3 linked regions of the Diceros bicornis minor genome follow. The protein of the gene in region 1 interacts with the protein of each later gene in a pairwise test. Links are inferred from orthologs where the notes say so. Each region holds a gene or a part of one and is shown on either strand. Other genes may lie near its edges.

Region 1 (7,131 bases):
AGTGCCTGGCATGTGGTTAGTGCCCTAAACATGTGTAGAGTGGAGAATGCTACCTCTCTGGTCCTTACTTCCTCATCCATTAAATGGAGTTGGGTTTGCTGATCTCTAGGGAGACTTCCAGTAATAGAATTTATTATTCTAGATCCTTCTACTATTGTTTTATCTGGCCATCTATCTTCTTTAGTTACCAGGAGAAATGTGTGACACCTATATTATGCTGAAAACAATGTATTACAGTTTTCTATATTATTTCAATAAATTTAGTGCAAAAATTAGGATTATAGTATACATAATGTTCTGCAACCTGCTTTTCATTCCACTATTTATTATGGACAACTTTCTCATCAGAGCTAGAGACATAGCTTGTTCTTTCTAATGGCCACAGAACATTTCACAGAAGGGTGCTGATCAGTCACGTATTGAAGGACACTTAGGTCGTTTCTGTTTTTCACTGCTACAAACAAGCCTGGGAGCATTTCTGTAGGAGATTCTTGTAAGTAGAACTGCAATATCAGGGAGTATGTGCATTTAACATTCTTGTCAATGTTGCCAAATCACCCATGAAAAGACTGCATGCATTTATATTCAAGGGGATGAAGTCAGACAGCCAAGAAGAACGGCAAACAGCTGCCAGGTTCGAGGGTTTCTCCGCATGGGGCTATGAGGTCATGCAGACACATCCTGTTTCACCTCATTTAGGATTCTTGAGTCCCCTTGGCATACAGCAATGTCGCCAATCCCTCCTGATTACATATCCTGCCTGGGAAGCTCCTGATCCTTTGAGCCAAAGACTTCTGCACATCCCTCAGGCTATCCAGGCTTTCCTGACTTGGATGGTTTAACTCCTGGAGTTGGGCTTGTCTTGCTGTCTTTCTCACAGTTATTCTTGTTCAGATTCACCACCTCCGGGAAGTCTGCCCTGATCCTCTGCCCAGCCCCTACACACACACACACACACACACACACACACACACACACACACACACCCCCATGCTGGGTTAGGTACCCTCCTGAGAGCTCCCCCAGCCCCTGTGTTTACTCCAGACTGACCACGCTGGCTTGTAATCGGTGTGCCTGGCAATCTCCTGGAATGTCACGAAGGTGTAGTCATAAGCAGCGAGAAAATAAACTTACTTGTGGCTGATTATACACACACCTGGAGACTAGAGACTGGGAAAACACACCTTGACTTTTCCCATTGAGTCACCTTTTGGGCCCAACAGGTCCATGCCAATGGGTTCCCAAAAGTCCCTTCTCTCTTGGCCACCCTCCCTCTGCCCACTCCTGCCCCCAAGGTCTAGGCTTTATCCTTCCAGCACCTGCACACTCAAGGCCAGGGAGACCTCCTTCCCCGGCTCCACGGACGATGGTCACGGTGTCTTCACAGTCCTCTGCGGGAGCAGGATTGGGCCCCTCAGTTCCCTAAGAGCAGAGCATCTGGAAGCTGAAAAAGCAGTGCCGATCTTAGCATAGCTTCATGTATTCAACTAGGCATTTATTGAGTGCTCACTGTGTGCCAGCCATGGGGGAAATAATAATGATAAGACACACGAGATTCCTGCCCTCATGAATAATGATAATAATAATAATAGCTAACATTTATTGAAACTTATTCTGTTCTAGGCACCGTGCTGAGCCTTTATAAGAATTGGGTTTTTTTTAATCTTTTTTTTTTTTTTTTGGTGAGGAGGATTAGCCCAGAGCTAACATCCGATGCCAACCCTCCTCTTTTTTTTTCTTTTGTCTCCCCAAAGCCCCAGTACATAGCTGTGTATCATAGCTGTAGAGTTGTAGCTCTTCTATATGGGACGCCACCTCAGCATGGCTTGACGAGCAGTGAGTAGGTCCGCACACAGGATCCAAACTGGCGAACTCCAGGCCACCGAAGAGGAATGCATGAACTTAACCGCTGCACCACCAGGCCGGCCCCAAGAATTGGTCTTTTAATCCTCACAACAATCCCACTAGGTACTATTATTAATCTCATTTTACAAATGAGGAAACTGAGGCACAGAGAGGCTAAATAGCTTGTCTCAGGGCACTCAACTAACAAGCAGTAGAACCAAGCAGTCCGGCTGCAGAGCCTCCTCCTTTAACCACTAACTAAACCAAACCAATGATGGCCTTCTAGTGGGGACAAATCATGGAGACGTGAACAAATAAAAAAGACACTTTGACTAGTGATAACTAAATGCTATAGAGAAAGTAAAATAACGTCAGGGTAAAGGGGTAAAGAATAACTGGGGGAATGTACGGTATTTTGGATAGGGATGTGCGCTCATCTGCTCATGATCTGCCTCCTGCATTGCGCAGAGCGTCCAGAGGGCGCCACTGTGTGTAGTTCTGTGTGTCCTCAGCACCCTGCCTGGTCCAAAGCAGGCACTCACTGTTTGGGAGGAAGGAAGGAGGGGACAAGGAGGCAGGGAGGGAGGGACAACTCTCTGAGAGGTGCTTCCACACACAGAGCTACCCAGCCTTTGCCAGTGTTTGCCAGCTGTGCAGACAGTACGAGCCCTGGAACCAGGGTCAGGTAGACCGTGGGAGGAATCCTTCTCACACCAGCTGTGTGATCTTGGTCGCTCTCTGAGCCTCAGTTTTCCTTCTTTGAAGAATAGGGGAAATAGTACACCACATGCTGGGCTCTGGACAAAGCCCTTTCACACATCGGGTACTGTCACCATCTTCCCTTTACAGATGAGCAGACGGAAACTCAGAAGCGAGCCCAAGATCTCGCAGCCGGTAAACGGGGGTCCTAGTGGCAGAGGTGAATGAGTCAAAGTCCGCCCCCTAGGGGGCAGCTCGGGAATTTGTGGGAGTGTTCTTGGTTGTCACAATGACAGGGAGGGGGAGCAGGACAGTGGCACACAGAATTGCCTCATGTCCTACATGACATTTGACTGTCCTGCTAAATGTTCATGAAGCTAAAAAACTTATTTACAATGAGCTGAGCCTAGAACCTACCCTCTCCCACGTCATGATAGAGGAAATTATTTTGCTACTTTTACACGTAGTGATAAAGCCCACTACTTTGCAATAACACTGTATTTCTCCACCTTAATTTGTTGTGGTGCGTTATCTTTCTTTTTTTTGTGAGATCAGCCCTGTGCTAACATCTGCCAATCCTCCTTTTTTTTTTTTTTTTGCTGAGGAAGACTGGCCCTGGGCTAACATCCGTGCCCATCTTCCTCCACTTTATATGGGACACCGCCACAGCATGGCTTGCCAAGCACTGCATCAGTGCGCACCTGGGATCAGAACCGGCAAATCCCGGGCCGCCGCAGCGGAGCGTGCTCACTTAACCGCTTGCGCCACCGGGCCGGCCCCGTGTGTTATCTTTAAGTTAAGGTGACTTTCCTCTTTCTCTTGTCATCTGGTCTGTCATTATTATCCCAGCTGTTCTTATTCGACTACCCTCCTGTCTTCACTTTCATTTACTGGGTATTAAAGAACTCACATATCACCCAAATCTGGAAAACAAAAGCTAAATTTAATTCTGGCTCAGGCTAGAGAAGAACACAAGCAGAAGTGCTGCTTCTTGTTCAACAGAAGACAAGACTGGGTTATTATAGGGTTTGGAGAAGGATGGGGTTTAGGTAACACTGAGATGGAACACGTTTCAAAAGGCTCACAGCAAAGTCGCAGTGTGAACAGAGAATTAACACTGAGCAGGTCCTGTTGTGCTGGAACCACAGAGTAAAAAAAAAAAAAGAAAAAGAAAGTGGGGCCGGCCCAGTGGCATAGTGGTTAAGTTCGTGCGCTCCGCTTCGGCAGCCCAGGTTCGCAGGTTCGAATCCCAGGCGCAGCCCGATGTACTGCTCAACAGGCCATGCTGTGGTGGCATCCCACGTACAAAATGGAGGAAGATGGGCACAGGCGTTAGCTCAGGGACAATCTTCCTCACCAAAAAAAAGAATAAGAAAGTGAACTATTGTGTCTGCCTCCTTCCCTGATCTGGACAGCCGGGGCCGGGGGCTGGTGCACGACAAGCTGAGCTCAAGCAGGAGTGGGCACCCGAGGGTGTGGCCTCTCTGGGTCAGATCCTTAGGCAAGAGTGGAAAATTCTACTTTCACATGTTTCTTATCTGAACCCCTCCCTTTAATTCATATTAAATAGGTACAAACACCTATTCACTTCATAATGTTTTCTACCTCAGTCTATCCATGTTTTGAAATACATTTTATTTCATTATAAATTAATTTCCTTCTATGTCTCCTTTCCATTACAGTGAGGGTGTTATATGGAGTTGTTTGGAAACTGTGTGACTAACTCTTACATAGTGCAACTTATGCTGGGCCAGGCACGATTACCTCATTTGATCCTCTCACCGGCCCTATGAGGTAGATACAATTTTATCATCCTCGTTTTTACAGAGGAGAAAACTGAGGCTCAGCGGTGGAAGGTGACTTGCCTAGGATCACACAGGCAGTAGTGGATCAGGGGTTTGAACCCAGGGCATCTGGCTCCAGCATCTGCACTCGTAACCACTCTGCTAGCCTCTCTCTCAGGTGAGGAAATTACCTAGGGACCCAGTTCAGGATATTAAGGGGGCTTTCCAGATGTTTCTTATAAAAGAGGGGGTTGGGTGTCCCAGGGGTGAGAACCACTGACAGAGCACATAGAGTGTTGATATCCTCTCCCTCTCCCTTTTCACTCCGTATTCTGCCACCATGGTCCTGAATCTGAGCCACAATTGGGGTGGGGGTGGGGGTCAGCTGTGTGGCCATGAGCCCAAGCCCAGGAGGGGCACGTTGCAGAGGGCAGGAGACAGACAGCAAGGAGTTGGCCAAGTGAGGCCCTCAGTTCCCTGCTGGCCCTGATCTTCAGAACTGTTTATGCCCAGACCCTGCCTCTCCTCCTCCCCGCTGAGGGGCGGGGATCTCCTCTGTGGAAAAATACCCAGCTGGGCGAGCCCCGGTGAGAGGAGGAGGGAAGGGGGGCTGGGACTCACGGGACGACTCTTTTTCCCTCTCGTGACTGGTGTTTACTGGGCCGGGTTCTGGGAAAGGGCCTGATTGCATCAGACAGGGCCTGAGGGGCTGGAGCCAGACTGTGGGCTGAGGAGGAGACGTGGCCTTATAAGTTGGGGCCAGTGAACTGGGAGGTGTCAGGAAACCAGACACAAACAAAGCTTTAGAAGACGAGAGACAGACAGCAAGAGTAAGCCAGACATGATGGCCACCTTCCCGAAAGCAGCCAGCCCATCCCGGCAGCCCCCAGACCCGGAGGACGAAGACCCCAGCTTGGATGAGTACGACCTCTACAGCCTGGCTCATTCTTACCTGCGTAAGGCCTGGCCTGCCACCTTCCTGGTTCTTCTACTCTGATCCCCATCCCCCACAAACAGCCTGACGCCCCCACCCCCAAACGAGGTCCCCTCCTTGGGCTTCTCCCCACCCTTCACCCTTATCCAGCCAACCTGTTCCTTTATCCCTCGCATCACCCCCTGCTAACCCCTCCTCCACTGAGTGCTGTCCTATTCAGCCTGGGGCCTCATACACTTCTAGAATACTGGAGCAACAACAGCTCATTCCAGCGGCCCCTTCTTCCACAGATGGGGAACAGGGGTTACGGCTGCCCCCAAAGCTATGGTGACAACCCCCCAGTCTCCCTACTCCAGCCCAAGCTCTTTCCCCCCAAGTCCCAACCCCCTGCCTCTCCTTTGAGGCATCATGCCTCTGCCCACCTCACCTTGGCCTCTTGCCTCGGTTCCCAGGAGTGGGAGGCCGGAAAGGTCGCACCAAGAGAGAAGCTGCTGCCCACACCAACCGCCCCAGCCCTGGTGGGCATGAGAGGAAGCTGGTGACCAAGCTCCAGAATACCGAGCGAAAAAAGCGAGGGGCACGGCCCTGAGACAGAGCTGGAGGTAGGGAGTCGGGGGTCCCAAAGCAACAGCAGAGGTCCCTGTGCCTTGAAAGGGACAAGCTTGAATGTGCTGGTTGGGTGGGGAGAAGGGGTCAAGGGACTGTTGTTTCCACATAGAGTAAAATGAAACATACATTCGACTCTGAGTTTGTTAGTGACCAGAGCAAAGGGGAAACATAGACCCTTTCCAATTAGAGGGAAATTTGGTTTACAGAGAGGAAAACTGAGGCCCAGATAGGGTAGGCTCCTTCTCTGGAGTCACACAGCAAGTGAGCGGGAGAGGCAGAGTCAGAACCCAGGCCTCTACGCCTTTGGTCACCTGCTTTCCTTCCCCCAGATGAGGCCAGAGCACGGACACCACAGCAATGGAGAAAGGACTTCGGAAGAATCAGCACCTGGGGGCCGGATCCAGGCCTGCTTGCCCTCCGCCCCACCCCCAGGACTTACCCCACCTGACTGAGGCTCCAAGGGGCCACCAAGGAAGCGCCCCCAGCCCCAGAAAAAGGACAAGATGGGGAGCAAGAGGCAGGGGATAGAGAGGCAGAGTCATGAAGGTACCCCCAAAAAGAAAGACGCTGAAGACCCGGGAGCTCCCTAGGGTGGCAGCGACAATAAACAAAATTCAGCAGCTGCAGCCTGTGTGTGGTTTTTGTCCTCTCTCTCTGTTTCTGCCCGCATGTGTCTGCATTTGCATGAGCCAGTGAGAGCATTTCTTGTTAGTGTTTGTGTTTGGTTATGTGTCTGGGAGGGGCGGTTCCTGATTTTGTAGGGCACCTAGAGGTGAGCATGCATTTTTTTTTGGTATGCGTGTGTTTTGGTGCATACATTTCTGTGGTCTCTTTTGGGGTGCAGCGGGATTTCCTCTGTTTCTTTGTAATGCTGCCCATGAAAAAAGCCCCCTCCCCAGCTCCTCTCCATTTTCGGAAGAACAATCTTGTTGACGATGTCGTATTCATATAACATTGCCTTTTGAAGTGAATGTTATTTCTTGGCGCCACCTGCAAAATGGAGAAAACTGAGATTTAACACATTAAGGGACTTGGCTCAAGTTACCCAGGGCTCAACTTCAAGGATTCTTAGAGTGCTCAAGTGTGAGGGGGGTCCCTTTGCCCGGGGAGCTGCCCGAACAGGATTATGGGAGGTCAGCGAGAGGAGGAAGTTCTTACTTAGTGTTATCAGTCTTGGGATCACAGTTGGAGAAGAACATGGGGCAAAAAAGAGATGTGATTGAAGCTAAGAAGATATATTGATTGAGATACAGATTTGGC
Region 2 (7,500 bases), on another chromosome or scaffold:
CTCACTTTCAAGGCATCAAGTCCCTAACTTACCTATCTCTGCTCCTGCCTGCTTCTCTCCCCATCCCTTCTATTAAAATGAAGGAAGCAGTAATGGCTCCATCAATGGCTTCACACACTTTGCATCAGAGGCTTTCAAACTAGGGCTTGCATTCCCACAGGAACATGAACACTTTCTAGAAGGTAGGTGGATACAGATAATTTTAAGGGAATCAATTTCCAGAGCTTCCTCCTTCATATGGTCCATCTCCTCGTATTGATCAGCCTAAGAAGGAGCCTTAGGTCAGCCAGTTCTCCTTCCTGACCTCCACTTTCCCAGTTGACCCCCTCCTTCATTCTGAATCCTATTCTGGCGCCTCACTCTGCAGTATAAAAAAACAATAAAAGAACTACTTGAGAATGCTCTGCTTGAGGAAGTCCTTGAGACAGCAAAGCCTAGAGAGCTTTTATGAGAAGTTGCAAAGGGGCAGCCCTGTAGCTCAGTTCTGTGCCTTTTCCATTTAAGAATTCAAATTCAAAAGTAAGAGGTTGATACAGGATAATAACCTGTATAATAACCACACTTATTTGAATTGAAAAACAAAATCATACTTTTTCTGATGGAAAGTCAATCTGATTTGGCTGATGGGTTTGACAGGACTAGCTTTGCAAATAGGATATATGGTGGACATTTTCCCAGAATGGAATAATTTAAATCTGCGGCTCCATGGTTTGAAGAAAAATACATTTATTTTATTTTATTATTTTTTCCCCCAAAGCCCCATTAGATAGTCGTATGTCATAGTTGCACAGCCTTCTAGTTGCTGTATGTGGGACGCGGCCTCAGCATGGCCAGAGAAGCGATGCCTCAGTGCAAACCTGGGATCCGAACCCGGGCCGCCAGCAGTGGAGCGCGTGCTCTTAACTGCTAAGCCATGGGGCCGGCCTGAAAAATACATTTAATATACACATACAACTTCCCCTTCCAGCCAAGATGGAGTAGTAGGAACGAGATTTATCTTCTTTCCTGAAACAACCAACCCAACAGAAAAAAATATATGAGACAACAGTTTTCAACACTGGACATCAGACAACAAAGGACGGTGATCTCTTCTGGACAAGAAACAAATGAGATGAGCCTTGTGACAGCCCCAGCTTACTGCTTGAGAGAGTTTCTAGGACATACTACAGGGAGGCAGAACCCAGGCAGGGCCATGCAGACTCCCCGAGCTGAGGAGATAGCTCAGAGTCTGGGGCAACCAAGGTAGCTAGAGTGGTCAGGACAGAATACTGACTGAGAGGAGAAAGGTGCACAGAGAGAGAATTCTAGAGATCTGCAAATGGCCCCCCTGGAGTATTCAGCAGAGCACTGCTCAGCATATAAGTGTGAGGAAACTACTTGAGACCAAGGAAGGAACTACCCAAAATGACTAGAGGGAACAGTAGCCAGTAGTCACCTAGGGCTGGAACAGTGCCAGTTCCCATCAGCCACACTGGAGAACCTGATAATTTATGGAGCATTGGTTAGAGTTCTCAGAAGGAGCTTGCCTCTGTAGTGGGAACTCATTAGCCCTAGTTTAAACACTGCTGGCTCCCACGTAACAAATCTCAAAAGCAAGACCTGAAAAGATGAAACTGTTCCTAAGTATTGTAACTGCATCCCAGAACAAACCTCAAGAACATTTACAGGAATGCAAAAATAACCAGCGCCCAAAAATGTAAAAAATTCACAATGTCTGGGGTCTAATAAAAAAATTACCTGTCATGCAAAGAAGCAGAAAAATATGACCCATAGTGAGGAGGAAAATCAATTGACACCAACCCAGAACTGATACCTATGTGAGAATTAGCAAGCAAGGACATCAAAACAGTTATCATAATTGTATTCCATATGTTCACATAGCTAAGTAGAGACTTGGAAGATATAAAAAAAAAAAAACAAAATTGAACTTGTGAATGAAAACTAAAATGTCTGAGATGAAAAATCACTGGATGGAATTAACAACAGTTTAGACACTACAGAAAAAAAAGATTAGTGAACTTGAACTTGAGCTAGCAATAGAAATTATCCAAAATGAAACACTAAAAGAAAAAAGAATTTTAGAAACAAAGAGCATGAACAACATATAATAGGTAGAAGGTATGTCCTTTACAAATATTTAAAATTGAAAAAATTTAGGGGGCCGGCCCCGTGGCTTAGCGGTTAAGTGCGCACGCTCCGCTACTGGTGGCCCGGGGTTCGGATCCCGGGCGTGCACCAAGGCACCGCTTCTCCGGCCATGCTGAGGTGGCGTCCCACATACAGCAACTAGAAGGATGTGCAACGATGACATACAAGTATCTACTGGGGCTTTGGGGAAAAAGAAAAAATTTAGGCATCAACTAAAAATAGGTAAGATGATTGTTTTTTTAAGTTATTTTGTGGAGGTACATGAATAAGAGTTTGAAGTTGCTGCTCTAGATCCCGTCTTCCTTTCTCCTTTCTCTATGACTTTGCTCCTGTGATCATCCCATCTCCCCATGAAATATCCTTTTCTTCCTCTCAGCATATGTACCAACTAGTATCTGCATCTTCAAGAAAACCCTTCTTTGACTGCCACAACCCACCTCCAGTTACCACCCAACTACTCTACTCCATTCACAAACTCTGTCTTCACTTGCCATCTCTGCTGCCTCATCTCTCCTGTACTCTGTGACCTGTACTACCGTGATTCCACTCAAACCTCTCCACCAGAATTCCTCTTCCTGTACTCACCAATGACTTCTTTGTTGTTAAATTAAATAGATCCTTTATAGTTCTGATCTTGCTTGCCCTTTCAGTTATTTTCAATAGTTTACCACTCCCTCCTTCAGCAGTTTACGACTTCCTCCTTCTTAGCTTCTAGGATACCACCCATTTTTTTTTCTTCTCACCTCTCTGGCACCTCTTTATCAGGTTTCTTGGCTGGCACCTTCTTATCATTGCAGCTTCTACATGCTGCTCTCCCTGTCCTTGGCCCTAAGGCTCTCTGTACACTTCTTCCTTTGATGATCTCATTCAATATCGCAGCTTTAAATACATCCATATACTCATGACTCCCAAGAGAATATCTCCCACCTAGACTCACCTCTGGGCTCAAAGACTATATTTCCAGCTGCCTACTTGACAGCTCCACTTGAATATCTCAGAGGCATTTCAAGCTTACCATGTTCAAAACTGAACTCTCAATCTCCCCCCAAGACAAAATAGTGACTCTATCCACACAATTATTCAAGCCTGGGAGTCGTCCTTAAGATCACCCTCTCCCTTACCCCTTTACCCCCCACATCCAATCTAGCACTGGGTCCTGAGATTCTACCTCCAAAAGCTGTCTTAAATTTGTCTGCTTCTCTACATCTCCACTACTACCATCATGGCCAAACCACCATCATCTTTCACTTGAATGGTTACAGTGACCTCCCAACTGTCTCCCTTGTGCCACTCTTGCCCCCCTTCAATCCATTCTCCATGGAGTAGCCAGAGTGAGATTTTTAAAATATAAATTGAATAACACTGTCCTGCTCTAATACTTCAGTGACTTCCCATTACTCTTAAGATAAAATCTAATCTCTTTACTTTTGGCCTACAAAGGCTGCCATTTGATTTCTTCCAACTTTATCTAGACCACTCCTCCCATCTTTCAGTCCCTTCTAGGAAAAAAGCCCATTCCTACCTTGGGACTTTGCATTTCTCCCCCCTCCCCCATTGTTCATCCGATTAACTTCCACTCGTTCTTCATTAATCAATCATCATCTCAGATGTCTTCCCTGACTCCCCAATTTAAATTAGGTTTCCCTGCTTTTCTCTCTCACAGCACATTGTAGTTTTCCTTCAGAGTTTTACTACTGTTGGTAGATACATATTTATTCGGGATTTTTTCCCAGCTTAACTGAGATGTAATTGACAAGTTCGTGTGATTATTTTCCTAGACTGTAAATTCCAGGAGGGCAGACCCAAGGTCAGTCTTGATATTTGCTGCCTCGCCCACCATAAGCCCTCTTCGAGTAGTGCTCAATAGGTGCTCAATAAATATTTGCTGAGTGAAATGAATGAGTGCATTAAGTGCTTGAGAACTCTGCACTGCTGAGAACTCTGTTCGCTAGGAGTAGCTTTGAATCTCTGCTTAAAATCTAGATAAGAGTTATTAAAGTCAGGACTGCAGGTAGGTACCTCAGGTATTTCCGCCCACAGGCCCTCTTCAAACCCCACCTGCCACTCTCCACCCTGTAACATGTAGTTTCCTCCATCCAAATACCCTATGCTCCTGGAAATCAGGCATCATGCAATGTACCTAACAATCACAGACCAAATAAAGAGAAGGATTGTGACATGGATCTAAACGTGACCACGAGTGCGTCCCAAGCCCGAAATATGACGCCGGGGGCTCATAGCTCCATTCAGGCCGGCAAAGTGCACAACTCCCCTCCCCCGCCCAAAGCTGGGGGCTCGGACACCCATCGTCAAGAAGCTCCGGCTCGCTCGGCTGCTCGTACAGCATGGCAGCCCCCAAAGGCGTGGCCCACGGCAGTGCCTGCAGTACAAGATGGCCGCCTACAGGGTACGCACCGCACCCCCTTCCGCCCGGCCACCGGAAGTTTCTATTTGAAACCCAGGCGGCAGACCCGGCCGGCGGAGCGGCAGTTGCTGCAGAGCATCTTCCGAACCAGAGCGACGAGGGCTGCAGGCAGGAGCAGCAGGCGCCTGGGTTCGGCTCTCCCGGGGCGAGGGACTGAGCTGGGTGTGGGGGTCGGACGAGGTGGGCTGGGAATGGAGGATTTTCTCTCTCTCTCGAGTCCTCCCCGGAGTCGGGGCGCGCTCTCCCTGGGCCCTCCACCTGCCCGGACCCCTTGGCCCACCCTGGGTAACATTCACCTTGCACCTTCCAGGGCCCAGCCGTGCCGCCTCGTTACGATGACCAGCGTGGTTAAGACAGTGTACACCCTGCAGCCCCCCTCTGTGCTGAGCGGCGGCCTGCCGGCAGGTGGGTATCCACGCCGCCCTCCTCGGGCACTGGGGACCAGCCTGGGGCGGTCAGGCCGGGAATGGGGGGCGCGGGCAGAGGGAGGGCATTTCATCGGCTCTGACAACCCTCTAACTCCCCTAGAAGCGGGCTGTCTAGGTGTACGATGGGAGTTAGGGGAAGGGCCATGTGGTAGGATTTTAGACCTGCCCTGCACCCCTCCTCCCCCAAACCTAACCGTGCTGGATTCACCAATTAGATTTCGCTTGCTGATTCTTCTACAGTATTATTCCCATTAAGCTAGGAATCCCTTTTTAAACAGTTACCCCTTTTATTTCAAGACTTGGGCTATCTGGAGGGACTGGGTTTGTTGTCAGGGAGAAGAGAGGAGAGTCATTTGAGAAGGGGATACTAAGGGGGAAGCGCTAGGCTTCACACTGTGTGGTTCACATTTGATATGCACAGTGTCTCTTCTATAGTACATTCTCAGTAAATGTTGGTAGAGTGAAGTGAGAGAGAGGGGTCAGGCCTAGCTAGAGTATTCCAGAACCTTGGGAGAAGAGACATGATTAAAAAACATTTTTGATGGCTTTGCCATCTTGCTTTGTGTTACTTGGCTTGTGGTTGAAAGTCATCTCTTAGGGCCTTCAGTTGTGGAGCTGCCTAATCTAGAGATTATAGCACAGAATAAACTTCAAACATCAGAGCCTGTTGTGGGAGATTTTGAAGCAGCTATATAAGATCCCTTCCCAGGTGACTCCACGCAGCTGGTTGATGAGCAGGAGCAGGATTGGTCTGTAAAGTAAATAGACTTTTCTCCGAAGCCTTCAGGGGTTGTTCTGTTTGTCTTCTGTTGCCTCAGAGAACACCTGAATGGTAATCCTGGCCTCCAAGTTGCTGGGGGAATTGCATCCATGTCTCCTTCCACTGCCTTTCCCTCCGAGAGCAGTGCCCCTCTGTCAGGGGGGTATGACTGATGACTGGCTCTCCCCAGCCAAGTCGGAAGTTTTCGTCTCTTTGCTCTCTATCCCTGTCTTAGAGTTATGATAATATGTAACCTCAGTGGTTTGACATTCTTAGGCTGTATCCCAGGTTTTTTATTTTGATTTTGAGCATGGGTTAGTTGTTTTTAAGTTTTAGTTTTTTGACTAACATATGCACATTTAAAAAAAAATCCAAAGTTAGAAAATGATATGCAGGGAAAAACAAGTCTCCTGCCTTCCTTGACACCAGGCATCCAATTCCCCTCCCTAGGGTCTCTTTTTTTTTTCTTTTGGTGAGGAAGACTGGCCCTAAGCTAACATCTGTGCCAGTCTTCCTCTGTTTTGTATGTGGGATGTGGCCACAGCATAGGTTGATGAGCAGTGTGTAGATCTGCGCCTGGGATCCTGGCCCCGCGAACCCTGTGCTGCCAAAGCAAAGCGTGCGAACTTAACCACTACACCACTGGGCTGGCCCCTGCATTTCTCATTTTAAGAAGACGGGGCCAGCCCTGTGGCTTAGTGGTTAAGTTCCCATCCTCCGCTTCGGCAGCCCGGGGTTCGCCGGTTCGGGTCCCAGGCATGGACCTACGCACCACTTATCAAGCCGTGCTGTGGCGGCCTCCCACATAAAGTAAACGAAGAACGAGGATGGGCACTGATGTGAGCTCAGGGCCACTCTTCCTCAGCAAAAACAGGGGGATTGGCAGTGGATGTTAGCTCAGGGCTAATCTTCCTCACAAACACATGCAAAAAAAAAGACAGTGTTTGTTAAATTCTGCTAAATTTTTCCTACAATGCAGTCTTTAAGTTCTAGCAAATATGGATTATTGGAACCAACTTCGATCAATGAAGAGTGTTAATTTTGATCAATTTTCTATTAACTCCTTTTTACATGGGGTAGATTTGTTATTGTGTATAACTTATTAATACTTGAGAGAGGAGAAGGTACATGCATTCCCCTAAGGTTACCTTTTGCTTCAGACAGAGACCTCAAAAAGAACCCTTTTAATATTTGCTTTGTGGGTAAGAGTATGGAAAATAGGGAGCAAGTGCCTGGTGAGTATACCTATAAATGAAATAATTTGTTAGCCTGAGAAATCATATTTATTCCAAACTGTCATGCAGCTAGAGTCATCAAAATTAAATCTTTATCAAATACAAAATTTCCTAATCCCTGTGATCCAGTGCTTTGGACCTCATTTCTTCAACCTGATTTAATTGTTAGGGCTTAATTGTGTGGCTCTTAGGTCAAGCTTAAACAAGCCATTTTACAATGAACAAGGTGAAAGCATCAACTAGAAAAGCGCATGGGTGTGGTGTGGTATGTGTAGTGGAGGGCTGGTGTAAGGGCTAGAGGGAAAATGCTCACCTCTGAGGAAGAGGAGTTTCATGGCAGGGCCATTTCTCTGGTTATCTGGCAATAGCCTAGCAGGAAGATCAGAACAGAGTGCCAAATAGGGAACCTTGAATAAACAAATTAAAAGGGCTGGTGGAAAGGTGATCAGCATGGAAAGGGGTAAGAAGACTAGAAGAGCTAGTTTAGAGATGGTCTGTGAAATA
Region 3 (7,855 bases), on another chromosome or scaffold:
GGGCTGGGAATTCTGGCCTGGCTCAGGGCACACAGACCCTCAGTGGGGGCCACTCGAGGTTCCTGTCTTGCTGGGTTCCCATGTGGGGCCGGATGGCAGGAAGGGGCAGGTGTGGAGGTGCCCAGTTAAATGCCTCCTCATGGTCACATACCAGCCACATACCCCCTTTCCTTGGGGGCAATGCTCTCGAAGGCATTCCCAGGCAGGGTGACTGGGAATGTGTCTGCACACGTGCTCCCCCCACAGCACTTTCACCTGCCACCGTGATGCTGGGCCCACACACTCACAAACAGTAACCAGAGCTTAAGCAAAACACCCACGGAGCTCGAGCTATGCAAATAGGTGCGCACACACAGATGCATGCAGGGATGAGGGGCTGGGAAATGGCGCGGGCAGGCAGAAGATTCCTGGAGACATTGCAGGGGGCACGTGCACGAGGAGCCCAGAACTGGCATCACGGCACGAGTGTGCTCAGGAAGCAGTGATGGCCGTGTACACAGCACATACACCTCCCCCAGCCTCCTGAGCTCGTCTCCAACCAGGGCATCAGTTTGGGGGCATGCCCGGAACATCAAGAGATGCTCCCCCCCTCTCCCCACCAGGCAGGAGCCTCTCGGGGCAGCCAGACCTGTGTGGTACCAGGGCCTCTGGCACAGCTCCCCAGGAGAATGGGCAGGCCCAGGCGTGCTGCACAAGGGAGCAGGCATGTTGGGGGATGGCTCTTACACAATCCCGTCCGGTCGGCAGGGCGGGAGAGTTGAAAGGCCCCTGGCAGCTCCCCAGGCCCTTACGCCTGGGCCAGGAAACCACAGCCTGAAACTCCTGGGTTTCTGAAGGGCGGGATTTTTTGAGGCCTGCTCTACTCAGGCTGCCGCCCAGACTCTGTCATTCCTCTGAGGCCAGAGGGGCTGCCAAGCATGTTGGGCATGGAATCATAGGCTTCCAGAAACTCAGCTAGGCCAGTGCCCTCATTTCCCACTGAACATGGGATGAATTTGCTGAAGACATCGTTCCTTTGTCCAGAGTCCTGCAAACAGTGTGACCCACTTAGGTACAGATGGCAACTGGAAAGGGGGGTCCCGGGAACATGGATGGTTTTCCCGGATGTGCCAGACACTATTTTAAGCACTTTCTAAAAATTAACTCGTTCAGTTCCCACTATAATCCTGGAAGGTAGGTACTATTACTGTGGTCTCCATTTTTTAGAGTGAGGAAGTAACTCACCTAATTTCACATAGCTAGTGTGTGGCAGGGCTGGAACTTGAAGCCAGGCAGCTTTACCAGCATTTATAGTCTTTCTGGTCTTTTGGGAATCAAGCAGAATTTAAGACAACCAGTTAGGAATACGGTGGAAACGGCTTAGCTGCAAGGGTTGAAAACTTAAGTGCCTACAGGGCTCAGCAGGTGAAATAAACATGTGACTCAGGACTGGCAGGGAGAGGCCTGTGGTCCAACTGGAAAGTGTGTAGACAGCCCACGCCATGTCCATATGCAAATTCCCTAAAAACAAAACTTGCCCGGAGGCCATTTGGGGCCCCTGGCTTAGACCAGTGCACTTCGGGCTGTAAACAGACCGGGGCCAAGAAATGCTGCCTTCCTGGGCCTACCAGCTTGTCTGGGGTGGGTTTGAAAGGCCTCAGAAACAGCAAAGGGCAAAAATGCCTCAATGAGTGGAAGTTAACAGGGGCCAGGAAAAACAGCCTGTTCAGAAACAGCAAAGAGGTGGGGAGTTGCCTGTCACTGGGGGAATGAGGCTCTTGGTAGCCTAAATAACTCCACCAGTTACGAGCTGAGCCATCAAATGCCACACTCTGAGGGCAAGGAGGAGGTTCAAGGAGGCCACTTCTGCTCCAGGGCTCATCTAACAACGCAGATTCCTCCATCCTAGGATTTTAGCCCCAGCCTGGTCACTGAGTTACTTGGTTACTGCAAGTCCCTTGCCATAATCCCTTGGTCTGCTTTTTTGACTTGTTAAAAGGAGAGTGATAAAATATTAGAGGTTGAACCTATAAATTTGCTGATTTTTAACCAAATTTTTTTGGTTTTGACCTACAAAAACACCAATTTTCATACGATTCAACCCTATAATTGTCCGGCCTACCTTGCAAGGTGCAGCAAATAAACGAAAATGCTTGACGTATGAGCCAGAGTCTCACTGCCACATATGCAGCAGGCACTCAGTGAGGCTAGGCAGATGTGAATGCTGGTTCCAGAACCAGGTGGATGTGAGCCCCTTCCTTATCCACTTCTAGCAAAGCCAGCTGCACGGGGACAGGGTCAGGCAAAGCAGTTCCTCGAGGGAAACTCACTTTCACCTAGCTCCTCCCCCATGTTTGCCCCTGCCCCCCCACCCCAATGGCCAGAATCCAGAATAGTCACGTATAGTTTTCAGCTGTGGACAGAGACAACTACCTAAGGCCACCATCCAGACAGGGAAGACGACTCAATCGCCTAGATGTGGCACAGACCAGGCTCTCGCCGCTACATCCGGGTTTTGTGGACTAACAATCCCCTCGAGGATAACCAGAGCTTAACGGATGCGCCGCAGGTAGAAGGCGCTCTCCTGCCCCATTTATGATGTCGCAAATCCCTCCACCTCTCGGAGAATGTGGCACAAAGGAGGGGGGTCGCGGCGGCGGGGGGCAAGAAGTCCCCTCCTCCTCTGGGGCGAAGGGCGGCCCCAGGTCCGCGGAGCAGTAAAGGCAGCGGCGGCGGGAGGGAGGAGGCCGAACAAAGAGTTGGGACGCGTGGTCCTTGGGGACACCATTGTCAGTCCCTTGGATCGGCTCGCGCCCACCCTCGGGAGAATCCCACCTCCAGCCATTGGGGCGCCTTGGGGCAGGGCGGAGACCTGGCGGACGCCTCCTCCGCCGCCGCGTAACCGGCACGGGATGGCGACCGCCGGGCAGAGGGAAGTGGTGCGGTGCCCCCGCTCTGTCCCGTATGTGCCCCATGTTCCTCCAGGCCAAAGGACAGGGACCTCGGGCTTCTCTCTGCCCAAAGGACAACTCGTTCGGGGAAGTCCTACATGCCAGCGGCCAGACTGTCAGATGGGAACAGGGATGCGAGCCTGACGCGTACAGGACAGGGACAGCAGGAGGGGGCCCAGACCCGGGTGGCGCCCCGGCACTCGTGCCTCCTCCCGGCCGGGCAGCGGAGCCCGGTCCTGGGGAGGCAGCCAGGCGAGTGCGTGGTACCCACAGGAAAGGGGAGTCTCGCGGTGGGAATGGGGGGCCCCTAACCTAGGAAAACCAAGAAGGGCGACTCAGTCTCTCCGTTCTCTTCTGATTTCAAGCTTTAATGGACTTGGCACCCGTTCCCCCTCCACGATCCCAGACTCCGGGTTTTCTCCGTTCCCAGATCGGCGGCCCCAAGAGACAGACAGCGGAATCTGCCAATGGCAGGACGCAAAGCGTCAACTTTGTGTTCGCCCGCCACTCTCAGCCAATGTGCGCTCGTTTCTCCGAAGTCCCGCCTTCCGTGTCGGGCGCCCCCTGCTGGCAACGCAGGAATGAACCGTATCCGTCGCCATCTTGTGTGTGGCACAGATATTTTTCTGGAACATCTTTCCACCTTTTCCAATTTTTCCTCCCACACAGCTGGTTTCTTAGTTCGAGAGCCGAGTGCAGTGGCGATAAGGAGGGTGTAACCTACGGTTTTCGGATCGCCTGCGTAGGTCGGATCGCCGCGTCACGCCACGCTTGCCGAGCCCAACGCCATCTTGAGTGTGGCGTTAGGATGGTTCCCTTCTCGGGGCTCCGCGTGGTTCCCCAAATGGCGCCCTGAACTTCAAGGAGCCCCCAAGGACTAGCCCAGCTGGTCTCAGAGACGGTTATTTCCCCCCAATAACCCCGCAATGTATAAGTTCGTGTGCCCCTCGCAGCCCCTTAAGTGGGGTGGGAGCGGGGCAGATTCGATGGCCGGGACCTGGAGAGAGGCTCCCTGAGGCTGTCGCGACGGCAGTCACCGACCGCTTGGGGCAGGCGCTGTCCAGAACCCTGTAGTTCAGGACCGCTGTGTGGTGCGACGCCCGCGAGCTAGGAGTCCTGCTCGAGGGCAGGAGCCCGCTCCGGCCCTCGCGCCCCCTCGATGCACGAATCCCCGAGTGTGTGTGCTTGGCACGGAGCCCGCTCGTCGGCTGGCTCAGGCGGCGGAGGCCTGGGCTGATGGTGGGCGACGGGGTCCCCTACCCAGGGACTCCGGGCGCCCGGGGCTGGACGTGGTAGGACGGGGCGGCCCAAGTACGCGGCTCTCGGCCTCGCACCCTGATCGCCCGTCTTTGGGGTTTCCGCCCACTTGCACTGGGACCACTCTCGGTCGAAGGTGCCCAGGCGCCGGGGGCGGGCATCTCCGCGGGCACTGCGCAGGGCACCGCCCGGGGCGAGCGCAGCCCAGCACCGGGCCTTCCCCTCCCCCTCGCTGGCAGCCGTCGCGAACGCCGGCCGCCGCCTCCTCTTCCCTCCCCCTCCTTCCGAGCAGTCGCGGGGAGGGGGAGGACTGGGGACTGGGCGGGTAGCTTTGCCGCGCTTTGGCTTTCTGCGTCAGCAGCCCCAGCAAAACAGCAGCGGGAGCGAGCGTCCTGAGCGCGCCCGCGCGCCCCTCCCCCCGCGGCGTCGGCGCCGCGGAGACCCGGCAAACTCAGGCCTTGAATGACAGTGCGGCCGGCGACTGCGCAGCGCGGGACGCACCAAGGCACTGCCGCTTTAAGCACGCTTGCCCATTGTTCGGAATCGAGCCAATGAGCGAGCGCCCGCTCCCTGCGCTCAGCCAATAGTATTCGGGCAAGGGAGGCCGAGCGCCGCCCACAAATCTATATTAAAGGTTCTGGCGCCGCGTGAGTTCCCCACTGGCTGCTCTGAAAAGCCATCTTTGCATTGTTCCCGTGTCCGGCTCCCCGCTCGCCGCAGCCGCCTCCGCCGCGCGCCTCCGCCGCCGCGGACTCCGGCAGCTTTGTCGCCAGAGTCCTTGAACTCTCGCTTTCTTTTTAATCCGCTGCATCGGATCACCGGCGTGCCCCATCATGTCAGACGCGGCCGTGGACACCAGCTCCGAGATCACCACCAAGGTGAGGCTGGACGCCGCCCGCCCCTTCGGGCTCCGCGCGCCGCTGCCGCCGGACCGGGGTTTTGCGCGTGGTTGCTGGGCTGCTCCGAGCCCGTTGTTACTCCTTCCCGCGGGGAGCCCACCTGCCCCCGGCCTAGGTCCCCAGGCAGCCCACTCTTTGTGTGTGCGGGGGGGGGGGGCGGGAAGCGCCAGACGAGATGCCCGTCGGGGAATGGGCCGGGCGCCCTCAGGGACTCCGGGGGGCGGGCGCGGAGGCTGAGGGGCTCGTGGGGAGGCTGCTCCAGGGCTCCCGAAACTTGTTTGTGACTGGTCTGAGCAGCGGCGGGAGGAAAGGGTCTGGGCTGGGGGTCGTCGGCCCGCGGGGCGCACGGAAATAACTTTGAAACTCGAGCGCGTTTGCAATCGGAAGTGTTGGGGGGGCGCGCGTGCGGGCGCGGGCCGGCTGCGGGAAGTGGCGGCTCCGCGGCGAGCGCCCGGCGGCGGCGCTGCTCTTTGTTCCGCGCCGGGCCGCTCTGTTTCGCGCCTTGCAGTGGGTCCGAGGAGGCTTATCTGGACTAAGCTCCGATAAGGCGGAGTGGGGTGGCGGGCCGGCCGGCCGCGACGTCGATCGTCTCCGCGGAGATGCGAAGCTTCTCTCCGCCCGGGGTGCCCTCGGGGAGGCGGGGGTGGGCGTCCTCCGGGGGAGCGCGCCGGGAGCAGCCGCCCAGCTTCAGTAGTTCACCAGCGATGCCGGGCTTGGCTGAGGAGGAGGCGAGCCCACGCGCTGAAGGAGAGGAAACGGAAAGTGAAGGAGCGGCGCGCCGGGGCGACGATGGGCGCCCCCCGCGGCTGCCCGGGAGCACCGTGTGCGCGGCTCTTCGGGGGCGCCACGGGCGAACAAAAGCTGTGGCCGTGGCTGGCCGTGGCGAGGTCGAGCCGGGCGCCGGGGGCCTGTCGGGGCTCGGTGCTGCGGGTTCATTGCCTTCGGTTTTGAGATTCTGCGCGTTTGGCGCAGCTCCTCTCCTGCGCGCCGCTTTGGTTCCGCTGCTCGCCCCGGGGAGCGTCTCCACCCTCGGCGGGAGCGCGGCACTTGGAAGTGGACCGGCTTTTTTATCCTTCGGTTCTTGTCCGCGATCCTCTCGTGTCCCTGCGGGGACGGGCGCGAGTCACCTTGGCGTCTCCTTAACCTCGGTGCTTCTGGCGTCACCTCTGGTTTTCCCCCAGGGGCGACTCCCCCGGCGGAGCGGAGCTTGCGATCTGCCTTGCCGCAGGGGCTCCCGCCGGCCCCCTCTGGGCCCAGCCCGGGAACTAGTTTGGGGAGGACGATCGGTCCTCTTATGTGCAGGCGCCCACGTTCGCTTTTTCTCCAAGGTGTTTTTCCGCTAGGGGCAATAAATCGCCCCATGGAGCGCGTCCCCGACGGTCTCCGACTGCGGGGCTGAAAAAGCCCCGCGGACTTCGGGGCGGCCTCCCGCGGGACTTTGCCCGCCAAATGCAGAGCCGCAGGCTGGCGCATCTAGGCCCGCGGGGGGGGGGGGGCGGCGGGAGGCCCGGAAAGACCGGCGCGCAACCTGCGCGCTCGGCGGAGCCTCGCGAAGCCGGCGGGCCCCGGGTCTCCAGGGTCAGGGGCGCACTCGGCGGCCCCGGGCCACGTGCTCCGCGCGCGCGGTGCGTGCCGAGGCCCGCGCGCAAAGCCCGCCGGGCGGGGGCTGTGCGCCTGCGCGCCGCGACCTCCCCGCCCCCACCCGCTCCCCGGGGCTTCGGCCGCCAGGGGGCGGGAACGGGCGGCGCTGGGGTCTGCGGCGGGCTGGCCGGCCGGGGCGAACAGGGCCGACAGGTGCCCCCCGGCCTCTCGCTGGACGGTGCCGGGCGGCCCCCCGCGCCCGGGCCGCTCGACGCCTGTTTGTGTTGGCGGCCGGCTCGGCCACGCCGGGTGGAAAAAGTTACGGAACTTAGGAGCAGCCGTGGTGGTTCTGCCCTTTGGAACGCGGGCCGTGTGCGCGCCGCGAGGTGCGGTGCGATGGCTACCCCGAGTCACCGCGGGGACGGGCGAGAGGCCGGGAGGGACATGGGGCGGTCCTGGGCGCACGTCGCCGGCGCCCATTTCCAGGCAGCAATCTGTGACCTTCTGGGACAGCTGTCGGATATGGGACATTGGTAGGATCTCGGTTTCTTCAGAGACCTACGCTTGCCGGGTCTTGGGCGCCCGTGGGCGAGGAACTCGGGCTCGGCTGCGAGGACTGGCGGGCGAGGCGGCCTCCCCAGCTCTGCCTGTTCGTTCCCGCCCAGTCCCTTCCCAGGCTGGTCCACCCCCGGGAATTCTCCCGCGGTTTCAGGGTTCTCCCTACATGACTTGGTTTATTTATGGTGTATACGTGCTGCCTTCCAAGAAGGATTTGTGGGAGGCGGAGCTCCTGTGCTTGGAAACAAGTCGGTGATAGGTGTGTGAGTGAAGTGTCCCGGGCTCGTCCGCCCGGCCAGACGGGTTTGGGACTGTGCTGCCACATGGCTTCTTTCCTCAGAAGCATGAGTATGTGGGCAGTGGGACCAGACGTAGTGGGCCCTTTTTAGTATGTTAGTGTGCTTTAAGGGTTGAAAAATCGGCTGAAATCTTGTCCATAGTCGTGCTCGGTATGCTGTGGTCCCTCCTTCTAGCGGTTCCATATGTAACGTGCGGCTCTTTCACCTGTGGCTGTCCAGGTCAGCACGGCACGTACACCTGTAGCCTTTGGGCCTCTTTGCCAGCCCTGGGTTACTTAGAAGACTTACTGGTTTACTCTTGCTTTTTTGAAGGACTTAAAGGAGAAGAAGG

Evidence for each region.
Region 2: the proteins of NUPR1 (region 1) and KNSTRN interact in a two-hybrid assay, tested with the Homo sapiens proteins (2 studies listed by BioGRID and IntAct). The link is inferred for Diceros bicornis minor from reciprocal best matches to the Homo sapiens genes NUPR1 and KNSTRN.
Region 3: the proteins of NUPR1 (region 1) and PTMA interact in binary tests that used the Homo sapiens proteins (3 or more experiments, as listed by UniProt). The link is inferred for Diceros bicornis minor from reciprocal best matches to the Homo sapiens genes NUPR1 and PTMA.

Annotation. Positions count from the first base shown.
Region 1 is NC_080765.1:22,008,464-22,015,594, forward strand, and holds NUPR1 (nuclear protein 1), read left to right. Parts: upstream 1-4,368; 5' UTR 4,369-5,169; coding exon 5,170-5,284; intron 5,285-5,714; coding exon 5,715-5,851; 3' UTR 5,852-5,864; intron 5,865-6,200; 3' UTR 6,201-6,626; downstream 6,627-7,131. UniProt on the Homo sapiens protein: Transcription regulator that converts stress signals into a program of gene expression that empowers cells with resistance to the stress induced by a change in their microenvironment.
Region 2 is NC_080744.1:38,259,124-38,266,623, forward strand, and holds the start of KNSTRN (small kinetochore-associated protein), read left to right. Parts: upstream 1-4,493; coding exon 4,494-4,702; intron 4,703-4,883; coding exon 4,884-4,978; intron 4,979-7,500. UniProt on the Homo sapiens protein: Essential component of the mitotic spindle required for faithful chromosome segregation and progression into anaphase.
Region 3 is NC_080776.1:20,082,633-20,090,487, forward strand, and holds the start of PTMA (prothymosin alpha), read left to right. Parts: upstream 1-4,848; 5' UTR 4,849-5,020; coding exon 5,021-5,065; intron 5,066-7,836; coding exon 7,837-7,855.